Oryctolagus cuniculus: one gene and its partner. The protein of the gene in region 1 interacts with the protein of each later gene in a biochemical or structural test. Links are inferred from orthologs where the notes say so. Each region holds a gene or a part of one and is shown on either strand. Other genes may lie near its edges.

Evidence for each region. The genes of interacting proteins can lie anywhere in the genome.
Region 2: of the proteins of DYRK1B (region 1) and HNF1A, one has a biochemical effect on the other in vitro, tested with the Homo sapiens proteins (2 studies listed by IntAct, with this or other methods). The link is inferred for Oryctolagus cuniculus from reciprocal best matches to the Homo sapiens genes DYRK1B and HNF1A.

What each region holds. Positions count from the first base shown.
Region 1 is NC_091449.1:14,150,888-14,161,419, reverse strand, and holds the start of DYRK1B (dual specificity tyrosine-phosphorylation-regulated kinase 1B), read right to left. Parts: upstream 6,434-10,532; 5' UTR 6,287-6,433; coding exon 6,208-6,286; intron 5,584-6,207; exon of another isoform or gene 5,459-5,583; intron 5,113-5,458; coding exon 4,949-5,112; intron 3,895-4,948; coding exon 3,775-3,894; intron 3,672-3,774; coding exon 3,483-3,671; exon of another isoform or gene 3,379-3,482; intron 3,220-3,378; coding exon 3,072-3,219; intron 2,886-3,071; exon of another isoform or gene 2,775-2,885; intron 2,460-2,774; coding exon 2,173-2,459; intron 1,740-2,172; coding exon 1,593-1,739; intron 1,512-1,592; coding exon 1,371-1,511; intron 1,103-1,370; coding exon 787-1,102; intron 424-786; coding exon 317-423; intron 223-316; coding exon 1-222. Other genes in the region: FBL (rRNA 2'-O-methyltransferase fibrillarin), read right to left, coding at 7,544-7,568, 7,656-7,801, 8,694-8,806, 9,767-9,899.
Region 2 is NC_091452.1:16,945,960-16,955,996, reverse strand, and holds part of HNF1A (hepatocyte nuclear factor 1-alpha), read right to left. Parts: intron 6,702-10,037; coding exon 6,502-6,701; intron 1,451-6,501; coding exon 1,264-1,450; intron 889-1,263; coding exon 647-888; intron 1-646. UniProt on the Homo sapiens protein: Transcriptional activator that regulates the tissue specific expression of multiple genes, especially in pancreatic islet cells and in liver. Binds to the inverted palindrome 5'-GTTAATNATTAAC-3'.

The DNA.
Region 1 (10,532 bases):
GGGGTGAGGCGGGGAGCAGTCCGGAGGGCCGCCCGCCAGGCTCACGTCCATCAGCTCCGGGGGTGGCGGTGAGGTTGGTGACGGGGGCCGGCCAAGGCAGCGGGGCTGGGGGGGCATCTGGGCCCCGGGCCCCGGCAGTGACGAGGCAGAGGTAGGGGCTGGATGTGTCTTATGGGGCACATCACCCCCTGCCCAGGGGCGCAGCGGCTGGGAGGGTGGGACCTAAAGGAGCAAAGGAGCAGTGGGTGATGGAGCCTGGGGTCCTGCAGCCCCAGGCACCCCACCGCCCGCCTCCACAGCCCCCAGCCTCCAGTACCTGGGGGCTGTTCATCTCACAGTCAGTGATGGGCGGCCCGGGACCCCCACAGTAGCGGTTGCTGTAGCGGTAGGCCCGGTTGTCGCTGGAGGAGCCACTGGAGCCTCCTGGAAGCACGAGAGGAGAGAAAAGCCACGGTTGAGGGAGCCGGTGGCAGGGTCTGGGGCTGGCTGAGCCTGGCTGATGGCCCCAGGCCTAGGTTATGGCTCGGGTGATCACAGCCCACTGGAAGGCTCGGGCCCAGTTTTTGAGATTTGGGGGTGTTAAAGCCAGAGCCAGTTTTAGGCGTCCGGCCACAAGCCATGTTTTGGAGATGGCGTCACGGTCACGGTCACCTGCAGCTCCTCCACCCCAGCCCGTTTGGGAGTTCAGGATCAGGCCACTTCAGAGCTGCTGTGTGACAGCCCAGAGGCCAAGGTCAGAGGCGCCCCCACCCCTGTGGTCCCCCGCTCTGGGCACTGGGCACCCACCCGAGCTGGAGATGGAGCTGGTGGTGCTAGAGGAGGGGCAGGTGTCGAGGGGTGCGGGCGAGGTGGAGGCACTGCTGCCTGCCGGGCCCGTGCTGGTGGCCTCGTCGGCCGTGCGGCGGAAGAAGCCGTGCTGCAGAGCGCCCAGCGGGCTGATGCGGGCGGCGGGCTCGTACTCCAGCATGCGCAGCACCAGGTCCTGGAAGCGGAGGTAGTCGGCGGGGCTGTGGCCCGGCTCCCCCGCCCGCCGGCCCCCGGGCCCGCCCGTCTGCACGCCCAGCACCTCCTGCAGCCGCCGTGTCCCGGGGCCCTGGTAATCCTGGCAGGGAGGGGGTGGGAGGGGGGGCAAGAGAGTGGCCGTCAGTGGGCAGGAGGGGCAGGGAGACACACACGGGGAAACAGAGAGAAGGCGGAGAGAGAGGCCAAGAAAAGCCAGCGGGAGGGCAGGAGAGATGGGGTGGGCAGACGAGGGGAAGAGGTAGGACGGGAAAGACACAGGGGAGGCGGCAGGGGGAGGGGGCGCCCCGAGTGTGAGAGAGTGAGGGGCCACCCAGGGCAGGGGGAGTGGCGCGGGGCAGGGGCCGCACCTTCCTGAGTTCCTTTGTCCTTCGTAGGGTCCAGCCACCCCCAGGCAGCCGCTCAAAGTACTTGCGGGCCTTGGGGGCCTGGTCCAGCATGGGGGCTGGCGGGATGCCTAGCACCTCCACAATGCGGTTCATCTGGTCCACCTGTGAGCGGGCAGGGTCAGGTTAGCAGGCTGGCCAGGCTCCACCCCGCCCCCTCCAGCGCACCCCTTCCTGGGGGCGCACCTCATTGGAGCCGCTGAAGAGGGGCTCCCCAGTGTGCATCTCCACGAGGATGCAGCCCAGGGACCACATGTCAATGGCCAGGTCGTAGGGCGTGCCCAGGAGCACCTCAGGCGAGCGATAGAAGCGGCTCTGGATATACTGGTAGATCTGCAGGGAGGGCGACAGTCAGGGGCCCAGCCTTGGCTAGAGGACCCAGCTGAGGACAAGCTTCTGACCCCAATCTGGAAATGGAGGATCCAGATCCCAACGTTCTCAGCACCAGTTTCCGGGGAGCCACTGCCACCACCACACTGGGCAGCGTCAGGGTCTCTGCGGGCCTGGCCCTGACCTCGCCAAACACCTCTCACACGGGGCTGCACAGCTGAAGCCCCTCCCCTCCGCCCTTCCAGGCCCAAAAGCAGCCCAGCTTCGCCCCGCCCACACCCTGCCCGCTCAGGCTTCCCCTCCCTCCTAGTGGGCAGCGCACCCTGTAGGGCTCTCCTGTGCCCGGTCACCCACCAGCCCCAGCCCGCTCTGGCCACACCCACCCGCCAGCCCCGCCCCTGCTCTGGCCACACCCACCGCCAGCCCCGCCCCTCACCCGCTGGCCCAGCTGGCAGGAGCTGCCGAAGTCCACGATCTTGATGGCGCTGCGCTTGGGGTTGCAGAGCAGGATGTTCTCGGGCTTGAGGTCGCAGTGGATGATGCTGAGCTCGGGCGTGGCCAGGAAGAGCAGCGCCGTGCAGAGCTGCTGCGCCAGCTTCCGGGTCAGGTTCAGCGAGACGCCGCGGAAGTGTGTGTTGCGCAGGAGGTCATACAGGTTGTAGGACAGCAGCTCGAACACCAGGCACAGGTGGTTCCGGAACATGAAGTGCCGCTTCAGGTGCACTGCAGGAGACGGAGAGGCGGCGGGCTCAGGGCTGGCTGCTGCTGCCCGGGTCACCCGGGAGCGCGGCCTGCGGGGACCAGCTGCTGGCCGTGATATTTTTATAACTCAGTTCACACAGGAAGTCAATCTCTTTTCTAGTCTCTGTCAAACCTTCCGATGAAACCAAAGTGAAAGTTCCCATGAGCTACAGTAAGTCTTCCACCCGGTCCCACACTTCCTCATCTAACTGTGGACCAGTCTGCAGCTTAGTTCTGTTTCAGGGACAAAGGATCCCTAAGTTTTCCTTTTAAAAGAAATCCGTTTGCCTTTCCTAGGAGGAATTAGTTCAAGAAAGAGGAACAAGCACAGTTGCTAAGAATAACGACTCTGGAGGCCTCTGCCCCGACGTTACAGCTCTGCAGAGTACAAGGGATCACCTCCTACAGGTGACGGCGCCTCGGGGCCACGGTTTATCCCGAGATGTGGACGTGGGCAGTGCCGCCCCTTCCCTCGGGCAGTCGGCCCCCAGCGAGCTTGGCCCGAGCGGCACAGAGCGCAGGCGCGCACGCGCACACACACACACACACACACACACACACCCGCCCCTCCGCGGGCGACCCTCCCGGCCTCACCTATGTAGTACTTCATCTCCGTGTCGTGCTGGTTCATCAGCTCCAGCAGCCGCAGCTCGACCTGGGCCTGGTTCAGGAAGGCCTTTTTGTTCTTGATGATCTTGATGGCCACCAGCTCCTGGGTCTGATGGTCATAGGCTTTCACCACCTGTGGGGCAGGGCAGGCCGCGTCACCAAGGGGGGCGGGGGAGGGGGACAGGGAAGGGCAGCTCCCAGCACTGCCAACACAGCTGGGTGCTCATCACGGGAGACACTGGGGCGACCAGGGCACAGAACCACGCGTCTTGCTATTAGCACTGTTTTACAGAAGGAAACAAGACGCAAGGAAAGTGACTGCGAGCGGACCTTGAAGCCACTGAGCCACCGGGAGACGGGTCAACAGGAGTGGGGGCCACGGGGCCGTGTCCACACCTGGCCGAAGGAGCCTTTGCCGATGAGCGAGTCGATCTCGTAGCGCTCCAGCCAGCGCTCGCCGCTGCGCACGATGTAGTCATGGTTGTCGTCATCGTAACCGTGGTTCAGGACCTTCTTCTCCTTCTTGGTGCTGGAGTCCTGGGGCGGCGCCTGCTGGGCCCGCCGCTTCTTCTTGGCATAGTACACCTGCCCGGCCGCCAAGGGAAACAGCGTGGTGAGTGACCTGTGGTGGCAGCCAGGCCCCTCGCGCCCGGCCCAGGGCACACCTCCCCCCCAAGCCTGGGCCCACCTCATTGATGTGCTTATAGGTCTTGATGAGGTCCACAGAGAGCTTGCGCAGCGGGGCTGAGGTGGCGTCCCGGAAGGCCAGGGGCGGCCTCCGGGGCAGCAGCCGCACATCAGGCAGCACCTGCAGGGCAAGGAGGCGGTGGGCATGGAGGCGGGTCTTCACCTCCAGCCTCAGCAAGGGCGCTGCCGGCTCCCCGCCTGCCCGGCCAGGGATCCCTGCTGGAACGGCCTCCCCATGGACGGAGCAGCCTGCCTAGAGCAGGGCCTGGCACGGCGCGGTGTTTGTCAGGCTGATGAGCGCGTGTGCCATTCATAAGGGGATTTCAACGAAGTTCTTGGGAAAATGGAATTAAGAGATTCTTTTGGTGCGAAATGCCTTTTGAAAATTCATATGCCTTTGTCATGGATTTTTGATTACAACTTTTTGAAGATCTCTTTGTATGCATGGCGTTTGTTTGTTTATTTTCGTTTGCATTTTCCTGAGTTTTCCCGGAGCCTCAGCTGGCGTTTTCACCCCCGCTTCCTCCTTCCTGAACTGCGCAGGAAAACCTGGCCCTGCCCTTGCAGCCCTCCAGCCTGACCCGCTCCACTCTGGGACCCCTCCTCGGAAGGACCTCAGCTCAATTTCCTGTGCCCCTCAGGCCTCCCAGCCTTCACCCTCCAGGCCTGAGCGCCTTCACCCGCTCTTCCTCACTAGGCTCTGGGTCTGGGGGAGGCGCCTGGCCTCCCAGTGCACCCTGCTCCGAGTCCTACACTTCAGAGCCTTCACTGCTCTGTCCTCGGTAGCTTCACCCTGTGCCACCCAGGCCCTAGGCGCTCAACTCCCCAGCCAGTCCACCTCCCCAGACGCCCCAGCCCAGCCTCCTTTGTCCCAGTGACCACTCCTGGGCATTGACGCCGGGCCAGGCGCCGTCCTCAGCATTTCTCTACCTCGTTTCACCCTCAGGGCAGCCCTGTGGGGTGGGCAGCGTTACTGGCCCCATTTTATAGATTTGAAAACTGACATCAGTATTTGAACCCAGATTCTCCCAGGTCAGGGGACCTCCACTCCCAGGGGCCCCATCCTGCCCAGGGAGATGGTTCCAGACAACCACACTGATTGCAGTCCTGAGACTCTTCCATCCCAAGTCTCCCTGACCCCCAGGGAAGTGGGCCCCCCTCAGGTGAACACATACCTGCGTGTGCTCCTGGGGCCCTGGGAAGCCAGAGAAGGGACCATGGCCTGGTGGGACAGCCATGGTGGGCTCAGAGGGCCGCAGGGGTGCGAGGCCTGGAGCGGGAGCCCGGCCGGGGGGCGCCTTCTCGCATCCTGCACCTCGGCTGCCACCGCCGCTGAGACCTGGGAGTAGCAGGAGACGGGGAGACAACACGGAACGAGGGGACATGTGGGGCGGTGCCAGGCAGGGAAGGGGTAGGCGTAAGCAATGGGGGGGGGCACAGTGACAGCAGCGACAAGGGGGACAGAGAGGGGGCAGGCAGAGCCCAACAAACGATGACCAAGTACGTGGAGGAGGCAGCAGCAGGACACATAAAAGGGAGCATTGGGAGCCAGGCGTGGTGGGGGTGGGGGACACGGGCATGCCCAGGACAGGACAGACACCGACAATCGGGGGAGAGAAGAGGATAATGACAGAAAGCACCGACCACAGGCGGCACAGGGCTCATTCTCTCCTTCCCACTTCTACCTGTGGCCGCCTGGGCCCCTCCTGCAGTCTTCCCTGAGCACCAGGGGCTCACCCCGTCCCACAGGCTCCTCTAAGCCAGAGGACTCCGGATCTGGCCGCCCCTCCCCCTTCACCACAGCCGAGCCCTCTGCAGGCCCTGGAACCGTGTCGGGGTCCTCGGGGATCTCCTAGCCACACCGGGGTGACCCGAGAGCCGCCTCTGGGGCACGCTCCCACACCAGCACACATCTCTCCCCCAAGACACCCTCCGGTCACACCAAGTCCTCTCCCCCTAGCAGGGCCTTCTCCTGGGAGCCTCCCTCACCATAGTCCACTTTCCTGCGGTCACACTGGGCTCTTCCCTGGGTCACCCCGAGACCCCCTCCCAATCAACACGTTCCTCCCGATGGGAGCAACGGGGAGGTGTCTTCCCACGCTCACGGTGATCTCCCTTTCTCCCCCCACTGGACCCCTGCCCTCCCCCACCCTGCACTACCCAATATTCCTACAAGGGCCCTTTCTCCAGTTACCCCTCTCCATACGAGAGTCGTTCCCCAGATGTGACCATTCCTAGAAGGCCCCAACAGACAAGCCCACATAATGTTTTCTACTCCCGGAGCAGCCAGCACCACAGAATCTTCTCCTCACGGGTCTTCCCCAATGTCAGATCCCTTTCTCCTTCCCACGCCTGCCACTCCAGGACCCTTACTCTCTTGGCGCTAACCCCCCCTCCCACACTAGCATCGGCTCTCCCAGCCCCCATCCCCTACCGGGGTCAGGGCTGGTGCGGGACCCACGAGGGGCTGGGGCGCGGTGGGGCCCCCAGTTGGGTGGGCGAGCGGCCAGCATGGCGGTGGCGGCGGCGGCAGTGGCGAGAAGGTGGCCGCCTGTCCCCGGCCTGGCCGGCCCGGCGAGCCCCGCGGCGGGGAGGGCAAGCGGGACAGGCGGCCCGGTGGGTGACAACAGCAGCCGCCGCTACCGCCGCCGCTGCCGGGGGCGGGGAAAGGAGGGGACTCGGGTCAGCCCAGGGCACGCGGGGGAAGGGGAGAGCAGGTGGACGGGGGAGGGGCGGGTTAACCCTCGCCCCACCCGCCCCACCCTGAGCGGCCATCCGCCTCCAGGGACCCCAGCGTCCCGCCCCCCACCCAGGAGGCCCGCCCCAGCAGGCGGGGTTTCACCGAGCTTGGCAATCTGCACCTGCCATGGCAACAACCGCGCCATTGGCCACTGCTACCAAGAGCTCAACCAATCCCAGCCTGGGGCAGCTGTTGCTAGGCAACGACGATGCGGCCGGCGGAGCCGAGCCCAAACAAAGGGCGGGAGTGGGGCCCGATTACCCCCTCCCAGCCTTCCTCCCAAGACGGCTCCCCTGGCCCGGCCTTTTCCAGGAATCGGACTATGAATAGGCAAGCGCAGCCCGCACCTGCCGGAACCTCGCTCCCCTCCTCTCTTCTCCTCCCTCGGCCTCGTGCTAAGTCTCGAAGCTACGCGGGCAGGGCGGATCCCATCCCGTCTTTCCCCCCAGCAGCGCGTGCTGCCCCGGCTGTCCCCGTGTTGTTACCTGAGGGCGCGGGCAAGGGGACTCAAAGTGCTCGGGCGGCCCGAGCTCAGATCTGCCCACTGGCTGAGGGTATCCGGCAGACACGGCCAGCCAGGGCCCTGATTACCCAGTAATGCAACCAGCAAAATGGCGACCACAACAAACCGCCCCCCCAACCCGCCCCAGGCTCCGCCCCTACCCCAGTCCGCCCCCTCACGTGACCCAGGGTAATACTCCGCGCATGCGCCCTTCCTGTGCTCACCCGCAAGCATGCGCAGTGAACTACCAATCCCGCCCGAGTAGCCGAATCCCCGTTCTGCCCGGGGGGGGGGGGGGGGGGGGGGGGGGCAGCGCGGAACAGAGCATGCGCTGTGGGGCGGACTGACCCTCCCGCCTCCCTCCCCTGCCCGCCACACAAAGTTGACCAAGGGCGCATGCACCCTGCTGTCCACCGCGGTCACGGCGCAATCAGCGGCAGACAGGGACCACGGAGAAGTCATTTTAATAGAAAAACACAGGAGCCACGGCACAACACGCATCTCTCGACATCCACACAGCACTGAACTTTAGCTCTTCACCTTGGGCGGCGGCCTGTGAGCAGATGGGGACAAGGGCGGGGTTACAGCTGGCCACCACTCGGGGGTCCGGGGGCCCCAGGACCGCCGGGCGCCGGCTCACCTGTACACGCCCACGACCACAGCGTGGTCCCTCTCGTACGGCTCCAGCGTGAGCTGCTCCTGGGGCTTCATGTTCTCCTGCTGCATTTTCTTCACCTCTGAGGCGAACACGGCCTCGGCCGAGGCGGTGGAGTCGATGCAGTTGGCCTGCGGGGAGGAAGGAGCCAGAGCCCGCGTGGTTTGCCTTTGCCTAGCACCGCCAGCGCCGCTAGGGGAAGCCTGGTTCATTAAGCAGCCTCAGGCCCAGGCCCGGCAGGAAGTCCTAGCAACCTCCTGTCACCTAAAGCTAGTTTCCCGGGCACAGGCAACAAAATGCCAGCAAGTGGCGAAGCTGGTGGCGGCTACGCGCGTTCTAATTGCAAAGTAAATGGTTCTGAAAAATGCACCTAGCGTCTGTGCAGTATCTCTTCTAAGCCCTCCATGTAGACTGAGTTGATCCTTACATCAACCCTGAGATAGGGCCAAAACGTGTATTTCACAAGACAGAGGCACACAGGTTAAGCAGCTTGCTTGAAGTTGCACAGCACAGCACGCTGGAAAACAGACCCAGCGGCCGTGCCCTTGGCCACCACGCCGCCTTGGCTCTGGACGCCACGCTTTGGGTTCTACAGGTATTCTATGCTGTGCTATCTGACCGGGGGCAGGGGAGGCTTGTGAGGAGCTGGGATAGACTGGCCAAGGCCCGCCTGCCTTTAAAAGGTTTTTAATCAACTAATTTGAGAGGCAGAGACAAAGAGAGATCGCCTATGCAACCAGAGAGGTGCTATTTGCTGGTTCCCTCCCCAAATGCTGGGAGTGGCCAGGAACCGAGGCTGAAGCCTGGGACTCAGTCCAGATCCTCCACCTGGGCGGCAGAAGTCCACTCATTTGAGCGATCACAGCAGGGGCTCAAACCCAGGTTCTCTGATATGGTGCACATGGGCATCTAACCACTAGGCTAAACACCACCCCAGTCCCCTTGTTTTGACTGGCTGCTTGGCAGAGAAAACACCTCCCTGGGACGCTGCCAGCCCACCTTCGACTCCCCCAAGCCTGGTACCTTAATGGAAATCACAAAGTGTCCTCCATTCCGCAGGAAGGTGTGGGCATTGAGAGCCACAATCCGGGTCTGGTCTGGCTGCGCCACATCAGCAAAGATCACGTCCACCATTGCTACGGGGAAAGGGCTGCCAGTCAAAGCTGGACCCACCCAAGAGCTCAGCTCCTCCCGGGGGGCCTGCGCACCATCAGCAGGCCCTGGAAGGTCTCCCTCCCCCCACACTGACCCCCTCCCTCCACAGCACCCCGAGATGGGCTCAGAATCCAGTCACGCATCATTCCTTCACTCTCAGAACCATGGCTGCCCCCTCCCTGTGGCCAGCCCTGGGCCAGACGTGGGGGACGCAGACGACTCAGACCCGGGCGTGGGGGACACAGAGACCAGTCAGACCCGGGGGCAGGGGTTGATGGACGTGTCATCAAGACGAGAGAGGGTGATCACTCATGGGCAAGCGCGCCTGCAGCACAGGGCAGTGGGAAGCGTGCCCAGGGAAAAGCTTGGAGTAGAGGGAAAGGCAGTCTGTAAGGTGTGATTTTAAAAAAGAAACAAAATAGACGATGATGTGACCTAATGAAAACTGAGCTTCAGAACTGGAAAGGGCAGGGGCTGCTCGTTCCGATCAGTTACCTCCAGGGTGGTTTTAGAGGGCGCCGCCCCTGTGAGCCCGTGTTACACCTGCTTTAGAATTTTTTTAAAACAACAGCTGTCCCATTCACAAGAGGCCCCCCAGGCCAGGCTCTGCCCAGTGTGTGCTGGCTGGGCGAGGATCTCACCAGGTGCCGACAAGGACCCTGAAGGAGGCTTTCCTGGCAAGCCAGGGCAGTGGGGAAAGGGCCATGGTTTGGGGAGGCTACAGGGGCCCTGAGGAAGGGGAGATTAGAGCAGAGGAGGGGGCCCCGTGGCCAGGTCGCCGCCTCTGCAGCCTCGCCTGCCTCCCGCTGCCCCTCTCACTCCTGTAGACTCATGAGGCCTGCGCATCGACTCGAATTCCATCCGGAGCCAGGCTCTGCCGGCCCAACCCGGAAACCTGGAGGCCTGTCCCACCCAGCTGGGCCGGCGTCCAGACGGCTCACCGATGAGCATGCGGTATTTGTGCGGGTGCCGGGCGTCTTCTATCACGGGGATAATGTTGGTCCTCTTCTTGGCCAAGTTAATGAGGTCACGGCCAGAGCGGTGGGAGAACTCAACTGCGTAGACCAGCCCATCCTAGAGGAAGTCATGTGACCGTCAGCAGTGACGCCAGCTCTCAGCACGGACAGCCTGCTCTGGGCCCTGACACGACACACGGCACCTCTTCCAACCCTCAAATCAAAACACGACCACTGGGGCCGGCGCTATGGCGTAGCGGGTGAAGCCGCCATCCCATATGGGCACTGGTTCATGTTCTGGCTGCTCCACTTTCGACCCAGCTCCCTGCTAATGGCCTGGAAAAAGCAGGGGAAGATGGGACAAGTGTCTGGGCCCCTGCCCAAAACCCTCGTGGGAGACCGGGATGAAGCTCCAGGCTTTGGCCTGGCTCAGCTCTGGCTATTGGAACCACTTGGGGAGTGATCAGCAGATGGAAGACCTGTCTCTGTAACTTTTTCAAATATATAAATAAATCCTTAAAAAAAAAAAAAAAAAAAAGCTAAAAAACTCTACCACTTACTGGCAATTGTTACTATGTCTATTTTGCGGATGAAGACATTGAAACGGGTAGACTTGAGGCTACTGGCCAAGGGTCATTCCACCAAACAGCAGGGCTACCTAATCCTGATTTGTTTGGTCTGGGAGCCCAGGCTCCCAACAGCAGCTTAAAAGCAGAGAGCCAAGGCGCAGAGGTCCAGGGGCACACGCCAG
Region 2 (10,037 bases), on another chromosome or scaffold:
GTCCTTGGGCCCCTGCACCCATGTGGGAGACCCGGAAGAAGCCCCTGGTTCCTGGCTTCAGATCGGCGCAGCTCCGGCCGCTGTAGCCATTTGGGGAGTAAACCAGAGGAAGGAGGACCTCTCTCTCTCCCTCACTTCCTCTCCTCCCTCCCTTTCTGTAACTCTGACTTTCAAATAAATAAATAAATCTTTTTAAAAATGAATGGAGTATAGTGGAGTGAATGAGAAGAGTAAAGTGGTAAAGAGGCGTGGAGTGAATGGAGTCGATGAGGAGAAGTGGTGAGGGCACGGAGTAGAGTGGAGGGAATGGAGGTGGTGAGGATGGGGGGATGCAGTGTGTGTGTGTGGAGTGGATGCAGTGTGTGTGGAGTGGATGCAGTGTGTGTGGAGTGGATGAGTGTGTGTGGAATGGATGTAGTGTGTGTGTGTGTGTAGTGGATGAGTGTGTGTGTGGAGTGGATGTGTGTGTGTGCGGAGTAGATGCAGTGTGTGTGGAGACTGGAGTGGGGTGCACGCAGTGGGGTGCGGTTAGTAGGGTAGCATGGTGTGCACGGAACCAAGCTGAAGAGCTCAGAGGTGTGCGTGGCTGCTGCCGCGGGGGCAGCCCTCCCCCACTCCCCAGTGCAGCTGCCCACACAGCACTCACCGTGGACCTTGCTGGGGGAGAGCGCAGCAGGGGGCAGGCTGGGCGAGCTGTGGGCAGGGAGTGCGGGTCCTGGGCCGGGCCCCGGTGGAGGCCCGCTGTAGGTGTCCATGGCCAGCTTGTGCCGGAAGGCTTCTTCTTTGCGCCGGTTGGCAAACCAGTTGTAGACGCGCACCTCTGTGACGAGGTTGGAGCCCAGCCCCTGTGCTTGCGAGGGGGACACCCCCCTCTGGATGCACTCCGCCCTGCAGAAACAGGCCAGCTCAGCGGAACCCTCTCCGGGGGATGAAAAGGTCCCAAGAGGGGGCGCTGTACCTGCGCACGTGAGGCTGGCAGATCTCGGTTCCAAGACCAGTTCTGCTGTGTGACCTCGGGCAAGTGACTTAGCCTCTCTGAGCTCTGTCCATTCATAAAGTGAGGCAGAACAGCCAACAAGCAGCCACCCAAGGGGTGCTGGGAATGGAGTTAAGTTCAAGACACTGAGCAGGAGTCCTCTCACCTCCCTGGGCTGGGCTAAACCCACAGCAGGTGCTCTTACAGGGCCCGGTCACCTTCCCCTTCCCCAGCCTTGCCCCAGCCCAGCCAAGCCGGCCCCACTGCCCACCAGGCTGTCCTCCTACCTGTTGCACTCCTCCACCAGCGTCTCCCGCTCCTCCTTGCTAGGGTTCTTCTGCCTCTCGTAGGCCTGGAACAGGATCTGCTGGGACGCTGGGCCCCACTTGAAGCGGTTCCTCCTCCCCTTCTTGGTGGGCAGCTCATCGCCTGTGGGCTCCTCAGCCAGCCCGCCCTGCCCTGCGTGGGTGAACTCTGGAGGCACAGGGAGCTGTCAGGGGGCACTGGCCACGCCCACCTCCCCACAGCAGTGCCCCTGGCCACGCCCCTGCCTTCCTCTCCTTCCCAGGTGTTGACGGAGAGGAGCTCAGAGCTACAACTTGGAAACCATCTCATCCAGTGATGACCAATGCTTGTGCCACCACCTGCTTAACCCGTGTCTGAGGCAGACATCACCAATCAACACCTGCACGTTGTCTCCCAAGCCAGGAAACCATCGCACAGCCCTTCTGGATACAAGGCTCCAGGGAAGCTGAGGCTCAGGGAGGGATATCCCCTGTCTCCCAGAGTCACACAGCAGGGCAGAACCTTGAACCCTGTCACATCCTAAAGTTGATTCAGGGCTATCAGCAACTCTCAGACTTGGAAATCTGGCTGAAAACATGAGTGTCAGCCAGGAAGGAAGAGCCCTCTTCGGCTGTCTCCACTTTTGATCAGATTAGCCCTGAGCAGGCCACCAAGGAATGGGCCAGAGCGGGGAGGGGGCCGGCTCCCGCCATCCACATGCAGGAAGCCAGAGTCGCAGGAGGGACCCAGGGAGGCGCAGGGAGCTGCTGACAGCCAGGCCTTGCCCGCTGCTGCCCTGGCCCGGATGCCCACAATATCACAGCCATGGCTTCGCCACCCCTCCCTGGGACCACCCCCATGGGCCATTTGCCTTCTATCTACAACCATGGTGTGGCCCCAGGGGGCTGGCAGGGGCCTGGACCAAGATCCGGAGCACAAGGCACCAGAATGTGGCCTCCAAACCTCAAAAAAAGGCCACACCCAGGCCATCAAAACCCCGGACAGCCTGAGAAAGCATCGTCACCAGGAAGGCTGAGGGGCTAAGACGACTGCCGGCTGCACAGCGGCTGGGGCCCCGGGGCCGGGAAGGGGCCTCCGGGGAGGGTGAGGACGTCTGAACGAAGCGTGGCCATCGCCCGCGCTGTCCCTGTGGTCCTTGGTGACAAGCGCAGCGTGCTCGTGTTTATAACAGGGGAACCCGGGCGAGGGCTGCAGAGAAGTTTCTGGATTGTCCAGAAATCTAAACGAGTTCTACAACGAAAGGTTTAGTAAGTCACCAAACATACAAAGCAGGGGGCCTGCACCATTCTGGATGTGCCGGGGGCGGGGTGGGAGAGGTTTGGGGGGCCCTGAGCGGGGAGACCCCGCACAGCCGCCCTAGCCTCGCTCTCATGTCCCCGGGACACTGCCACAGCACATCCATGGGACAGCGCCCGCGGCACCACCACAGCCGTTTATCTCCGCCGCCTGGAAGGGGGAACAGCAGCTCGAGAAAGCTGCGTCCCGGGCAGGGCCAGCACTCGAGCCGCAGCGGCCGGCCCAGGTCCTTGCGTGAGTGCCATGCGATGCCCGGCTGCATCTGCTGCACCTGATAACATCCACTCCGTTGGGGCACAGCCCGCAAGTGTCACTCCCGCTTCCGCAGGAAGCAGCCCCAGTCCTCCTGGGGACCCTCCTGAGCCCACGGCAGCCCCTGGCCCCCGCCGCTTCCTGGGTCTCCTTCCAGTTACTGGCACTGCGTGGCCAGTGGCGGAGGAGGACAGAGCGGGCCCTGGGCAGTGGCGACTCAGGCTGTAAACAGAGGGGCAGAGGCCCGAGCTGCTTGTGAGAAAGAGACGGGACGCTGACTCTCCGTCTAGAGGCAAGTCCTCAGACCCGGCTGGCCTGCGGCTCTCGGGGTAAAGCCGGCGGGAGAAAGCACAGGAGGGGCGGGCGCTGGGCGCAGGGGTGAGGGAGCACTTTGGCTGGTTGGAGCCCCAGCTCCGCTTCTGATCCCAGCTTCCTGGGAGCAGCAGGTGATGATGGCTCAAGCAATTGGGTCCCTGCCACCCATGTGGAGACCCACGTTGAGTTCCTGGCTCCCCGCTGGGGACATTGAGAGAGTGACCCAGTGGATGGGCGATGCCTGTCGCCCTCTGCCTCTCTTCCCTCTCCCTCGCCTTCTCTGCCTTTCAAATAAACTTTTATAATTCATACATAGGAACAGGAGTCTACCTTCATGATCTTAGATAAAATTCTTACAACACAAAAAAAGTACCAACCATAAAAAAAAAAAAAAAAAAAAAAAAACCAGTAAGAATGGGGCCAGCACTGTGGCGCAGCGGGTTAATGCCCTGGCCTGAAGCGCCAGCATCCCATATGGGCTCCGGTTCAAGACCTGGCTACTCCACTTCCGATCCAGCTCTCTGCTATGGCCTGGGAAAGCAATGGAGGATGGCCCAAGTCCTTGGGCCCCTGCACCCGCATGGGAGACCCGGAAGAAGCTCCTGGCTCCTGGCCTCGGATCAGCGCAGCTCGGGCCGTTATGGCCATCTGAGGAGTCAACCATCAGATGGAGGACTTCTCTCTCACTCTCTCTCTGCCTCTCCTCTCTCTGTGTAATTCTGACTTTTAAATAAATAAATAAATCTTAAAAAAAAAAAAAACAGTAAGAACTTCTGTTCATCAAAAAGCAGTCTGGAGAACAGCGTGGGGAGATACACTTGCTGTGGATCTACTTGCAAAGGGACTCGTGGGCATGGTATCTTTTTAAAACTCCTACAGACCCACCATTAAAAGGCAGATGACCTGAGAGCCAAATGGGACGCCCCACATGGGGACTCGTGGAGGACATGAGAGCTAAGTGGGCAGTTCAGACCCCAGGGTCCCATTCAGAGTGCATGGGTTCAGCACCCAGCTCTGGCTCCCAGGCCCAGCCTCCCGTGAGCGCACACCCTGGGAAGCAGGGATGATGATCAAGCTTCCAGGCTCCTGCCACCCGTGGAAGCCCTGGCTCCAGCTCCCAGCTCCCAGCTCTGGTCCGGCCCAGGCTTGGCTACTGTAGGCATTCGGGAGTGAACCAGCGAGTGAGAGCGACGTCTCTGTGCGTGTCTCTCTCAAAGGTAAACTAATACAGATTTTTCTAAAGCCACAGTACCATGCCACCATCTCCACAGCTAGAATGGAAACTACGGACACTACCAGGTGCTGGCAGCGCTGCCTGGAGCTCCTGGGGCTCAGACACTGTGGCTGGGGTGCCGACGGCTGTGCAGCGGCACCTGTGAGGGTGGAGCTCACCCAGTCATTCCAAGCCCAGCAGAAGTGGATATGCACTCAGAGAGAGCCACATACTAGAACATTCACAGGGACACTGTTCACATCAGCAAAGCGTGGGGAGAAACCCCGAGGCCTGCCAAAGACGGAATTAGTCCATTGGATTCACGTAGCGGAGTGGGCCGGCCTGGGACACAGGGGCAGAAGATGAGTTTGCGCCCATGATACGGAGAAGCAGCAGCCACTGCTGGCTTGATTTTATGTGCAACTCAGAAAGAGCCACAGTAGGGCTCTGATGACGGAAGTCAGGGTTGGGGTCCCTCTCCCGGGAAGGGGAGGCTTGCGGGAGCTGGTGCTGCTCTGTGGTGGTCATGTCCGCGGCTACAGCGGCGGCTTCACCTTGTGCTAAGCCTAGAAGCTAAGCCTAGTTCTAACAGATTTTCAAAAAATCATTTAGTTGTTTTTAGTTTGAGAGACAGACAGAGCTCGGATCCACCGGTTCACTCCCCGGTGCCACAACAGCCGGGACTGGGCCAGGCCTACGCTGAAAGCCTGGAACTCAATCCCGCGCTCCCTTGTGGCCGGCAGGGACCCGGCTAGTTGAGCCATCCCCACTGCCTCCCAGGGTCTGCTCAGTAGGAAGCTGGAGTCGGGAGCTGGAGCGGGGACCGAGCCCAGGCAGTCTGATAGGGGACACTGGCTTCTGAACCCCCAGGCCAAACACCCACCTCTCCAAGGAAGTTTTTATTATTCTCACAGAAAATGTTCAAAGTACAAAACATGCATTGCTTTGCACTTGCTTTCCCAGTGTGCACTGAAGGGCAGCAGAAGCGAATGCCCCAGCGCTTAGAGCCAGGGTAGGCATGGGCAAGGATCCGAGGTTGTGTGGGGTGCGTTTTTTTCCAACAGTGATTTTTTCTGGTGGGCAGGCAAATGGAGGCCACTAGTTTAAAACAAACTATGGCAGTGTCTGCCAAATGTTTTATGTATTATTTATTTATTTATTTGAAAGACAGAGTGACAAAGGCAGGGAGAGACAGAAAGAGAGAGATTTTCCATCCACTGGTTCACTCTCCAAATGCCCACAACAGCCAGGGCATTTGGACCAAGCCAAAGGCAGGAGCCAGGGACTCCATCTGAGTCTCCCACATGGGTGGCAGGGAGCAAGCACTTGGGCCAACACCTGCTGCCTCCCAGGCACATCAGCAGAAAGCTGGGTCAGGAGCAGCAGTGGGACTTCATCCCGCCTCTCTGATGTGGAGAGTGGGTGTCCCAGGCAGCGACTTAGCCTGCTGTGCCGCGGTGCCTGACCCGCAGCAGAGATGCTAAAGCTCCTGCCCTCCAGCCCAGCGTCCCACCCCGGGAGTGATTGCTGCAGACACACTCAGTGAGCACAAACTTAGGCAAATACGATTGTTCGCTGCAGCAGACGGTTGTAATTACAGATTGGGAAAACCCTAGAAGTCTGTGGGTCGGTGGCCAGTTAAACCAGTAATGGTGCCTCCACCAAGGGCCAGAAGCCCCTTGAAAGAGTAAGATCAGTGAGAAGATGTATCTGATGGGGTCCATGTTTGGTGCAGCCGTGAAGACGCCCCTGGGGACCCCCACACCCCATGCTACAGTGCCTGGGCTCCGGTCCCAGCTCCTCTCTTTGCTCCAGCTTCCTACTGACGCACACACTAGGAGGCAGCAGGTGACGGCTCAGGGAGCTGAGTGAGTCCCTGCTGTCCCCATGGAAACCTGGATTGAGCTCCTGGCTCCTGGCTGTGGCCTGGCTCCATGCTGGCTGTTGCGGGCATTTGGCGAGGGAGCCAGTAGAAGGGACTTCTCTCTGTCTCTCTCCTCCCCTCCCCGCCTCTCTCTCTCTCTCTCTCTCTCTCTCCCTGTCTGTGAAGATGGATGAGCAGATGGGTGCAAGAGATCTCCCGGGGGTGAGAGGCTCCCAGCCCCCTCTTCGGAGTGGGGCGCGTCCTGGAGTGGTTACTTACGCTGGGCCACCTCTCGCTGCTTGCGGACGTACCAAGTGTACAGGGCAGCACGCTTCTGCGTCTTCATGGGGGTGCCTTTGTTGAGGTGCTGGGACAGGTGCGACTGGTTGAGGCCGGTGGTGTCGACCACCTCGCGCTGCGGGATGTTGTGCTGCTGCAGGTACGACTTGACCATCTTGGCCACGCGCCACGGGTCCTCCCTGGGAGGAAGGCGAGGACAGCTCGGCTCAGCGGGGGGGGGGGGGGTCTCCAGGGGGCCCGTGAGCACTTGCCAGTCGTGGAGGTGGGGACCGTGGATGACAGCAGCTGTGCAGCCTGCACCCAGCCCTGGAGGTAGGGAGGTGTTGTCACTCATGCCAAGACACAGGGACGTGGGGACCGAGACTTGGAGACATGTGGACACCAACGTCAATGTGAGTGGACTCCTGACTGCACAGGCCCCTTGGGGAGGGTCCTCCCCAATTGGGCCTTTAAAGTGCTTCCCCTCATCCTACCTGACAGTGTTACTGGTGGCCGTGCTATTCACTGAGGGTCTGGGAGTGGACATGTTAGGTGGGAAATGTCTGGTTCTCACTCAGCACCCGAAGTGGGCCTGACAAAGAGTAGGCCATTAGGGCACACAGGGACGAGTGGGTGGGTGTGGGATGGGTGGGCAGAGGGACAGGCGGATGGGTGAGAAATGGATGGATGGATGGATGGTAGATGGGTGGAGATTGGATGGCAGATGGGTGGGTGGGTGGATGGGTGGATGGGAGGATGTGTGGATGTGTGGATGGCAGATGGGTGTGTGGATGATGGATGGGTGGGTGGATGGATGGATGAGGGAGATCTACCAGAGAAAGAAAAACACTGAACCTGAAAACAAGGAGGAGAATGCAGGCTCTCCCATTTTATAGCCAGCACCACTGCGGCTCAGAGAGCTCACCCCACTTGCCTGTGGATGGGGCCAGCCCCACTGCGTGCCCTCCCACCAGAAGGGGTTTGGTTTAAGTCGCCAGCCCATCAGGCAGAGATCGCAGAGCCGCGGTACCTCCTGAAAACCTGCGCCCTGCCCTCGGCAGCGGCCGGCTGACTTCCCAGAGAGCAGGGCACCTGCTGCTTCTTCAGCAGGGTCCCAGGGGAAGGGGTTACGGGCACGCAGGGGCCTCCGTGAGCCAGTACTGTGTGCGTGAGCCCTGGGCTCCACGCCCCAGGCTGAGCTGCTCCCGATGGCCTCCAGCAGGGAAGGTGTGCGGGGGCCGGGTGAGGGGTCGCATGCATCAAAGCACGTGACGCACTGATGGTACACGCTACGCCATCTCCACACACAGTCTTCCTTCGGCGTCCACGGGGGAGCGGGGCCAGGACCCCTTGCAGACACCAAGCTCCGCGGATGCCCTCATCCCTCGGAGAGCCCGGCTTAGTATTTGTGTGTAACCTTCAAGTGTCATCCGAGGACTTTAAGTCACCTCTAGGAGGCGCATGCTCTTTAGGGAACAGTGATACGGCCGCCCCACGACGACAAGCCTCCAGCACTGGGAGGCTGACCACCACCCTGTCCTCAAGGACCGGCCCTGGCCGGGCTGTGCCAGGTGCCAGGTGCCAGGGCACAGAGCTCTGCGTGCCTCAGCTCTGCCCCTCTGTCTGCTGTTTTATCAGCCCCTTCCAGAAAGGCAAAGACGGGAAGAGGGAGGGGACAGGGGCCTCTCAGGAGGTCAGCAGCGGGCACATGACGTCCCGCTTGTGGACAGAGGGAAGCCGGGGGGAAGCGTGTTCCCTGCAGATTCTCTCTGAGCCCGGCGCTGTGCTAGGGGCTGGCTGCCTCAGGCTTCCAGCGACTCCAGGAAGCAGGTGCCGCTCCCATGCCCACTCCACAGGTGAGAAAACCGAGACTCCGGAAGCTGACGTCACTTGCCCAGGGTGACACCCCTGGGAAGAATATCTCATAGTACGCCCCCCCACCCCCCGCCAACAGTCCTCTCCCTGGCTCTGCTTCTCACTGATTTCAGAGGCTCCTGGGGTCCTCTCTTCCCCACCGCTCCCCTCCCCCCACGCCGAGAGAGCCAGGAGGGAAGGGCGGTCCAAAGTGCAGCCTGCCACCGTGTCTGGCAAACATGTTTATCTGATTGCAGGGCGGGCGGCCCCATGGCCTCCCTCCCCCACCCCAGCCACCACCCTCTGCCCTGCCTCCCGCGGCGGAAGGTCCACTGCCTGCTGCTGCCCTGTTCATGTCCATCCTCACTCTTTGTGCCCCCCTCTCTCTCTCCCTCCCTCTCTCCCTCTCCCTTCCTCCACCCCTGCCCCAATCTCCAAGAACACAGCTCCTTTGTCAGCACAGCTGCCCCAGCTCAGAACCATGGCCAGGTCTCCAGGCATTCCCCTGCTGACTACGCCCCAGCTCCTGTGCACTCGCACAGCCCATGCCTGCCCTGCGACACAGGGCAAATCCGCGCCTCACTCCTGCAGCTGCTGGGAGAGCTGGGTGCGTTTCGCACAGGGATGAAGCCCTTCAGACAGGGCCTGGCGAGCAGAGGGGGCTCAGGAAGTGGGACAATGCTGAGGCATCATCATGATCATCCTCCCTGGCCCCCTAGTCCAGGGGAGCAAAGCCCAGGAGGGGTGAAGCCCTGCCTGCATCGCCCTCCTCTTGCCTCCCCCCTGGCCGCAGCTTTGGGCCTTCTGCTCTGTGGCACCCTTGGTTTCAGGTCATCCAAGGTCGTGGAGCTGGGAGAGACCCAGGCTGAAGGGCCGCTCACTGGGAGGGAGAGCCAAATTCTCAGCGTGAGAGTTTAGACCTGAGTTCGAATCCGGCTCTGCCACCCGGCACCCATATGGCCTCGGGAAGTTGCCCAACCTTCACCACGTGACTCAGCCTCCTCCCTGTGCAATGCCGCTGCGGATGCGTCACACTTCCGGGACAGCCGGTGCTGGCTGTAAGCCCTCCTGCGTGGAGGGGCGCTCACGGGCAGGGTGAACGGCAAGAGCAAGTGGGAGGGGAGGGCCAGTTGCATGACCACAGAAAGGCAGGGCTACAGAGTACAGAGAGGGGGGGAGAGAGAGAGAGAGAGAGAGAGAGAGAGAGAGAGAGAGAGAGAGAGTCTTCCATCCGCAAGTTCACTCCCTAAATGGCTGCAACAGCCAGGGCTGGGCCAGGCCAAAGCCAGGAGCTGGGAGCTCCATGCAGCCCTCGAGGGGAGCCGTGCACAGTGTGGGGTAGGAGACTCGGGCCCAAGTCCTAGACTCGCTGCTTGGGAAGTGACCTTGAGTCGGTCACGTTGGCTCTTGGAGCCCTCATTCGCTCCTCTGGAAGTCAGGAGTACAAGGCTGTGAGCGTCCTGCCTGAGCCCGTGGGATTTACCGTTATCTCCATCTTGTGGGGGGAACCCCCTGCCTGGGCCAGAAAGGGGGCAGAGCTGCATCTCGAGCCCAGGCAGGCGGCTCCTCCGTCCTGCCTTGGTTCTCAGTGCCACCCGCCGAGGGGGATCCGAGGGCTCCATGGCTGAGGTCTGAGATGCTCGGGGCCGGGGAGGACCCCTGGGGAGGAGCCCTGGGTTTCC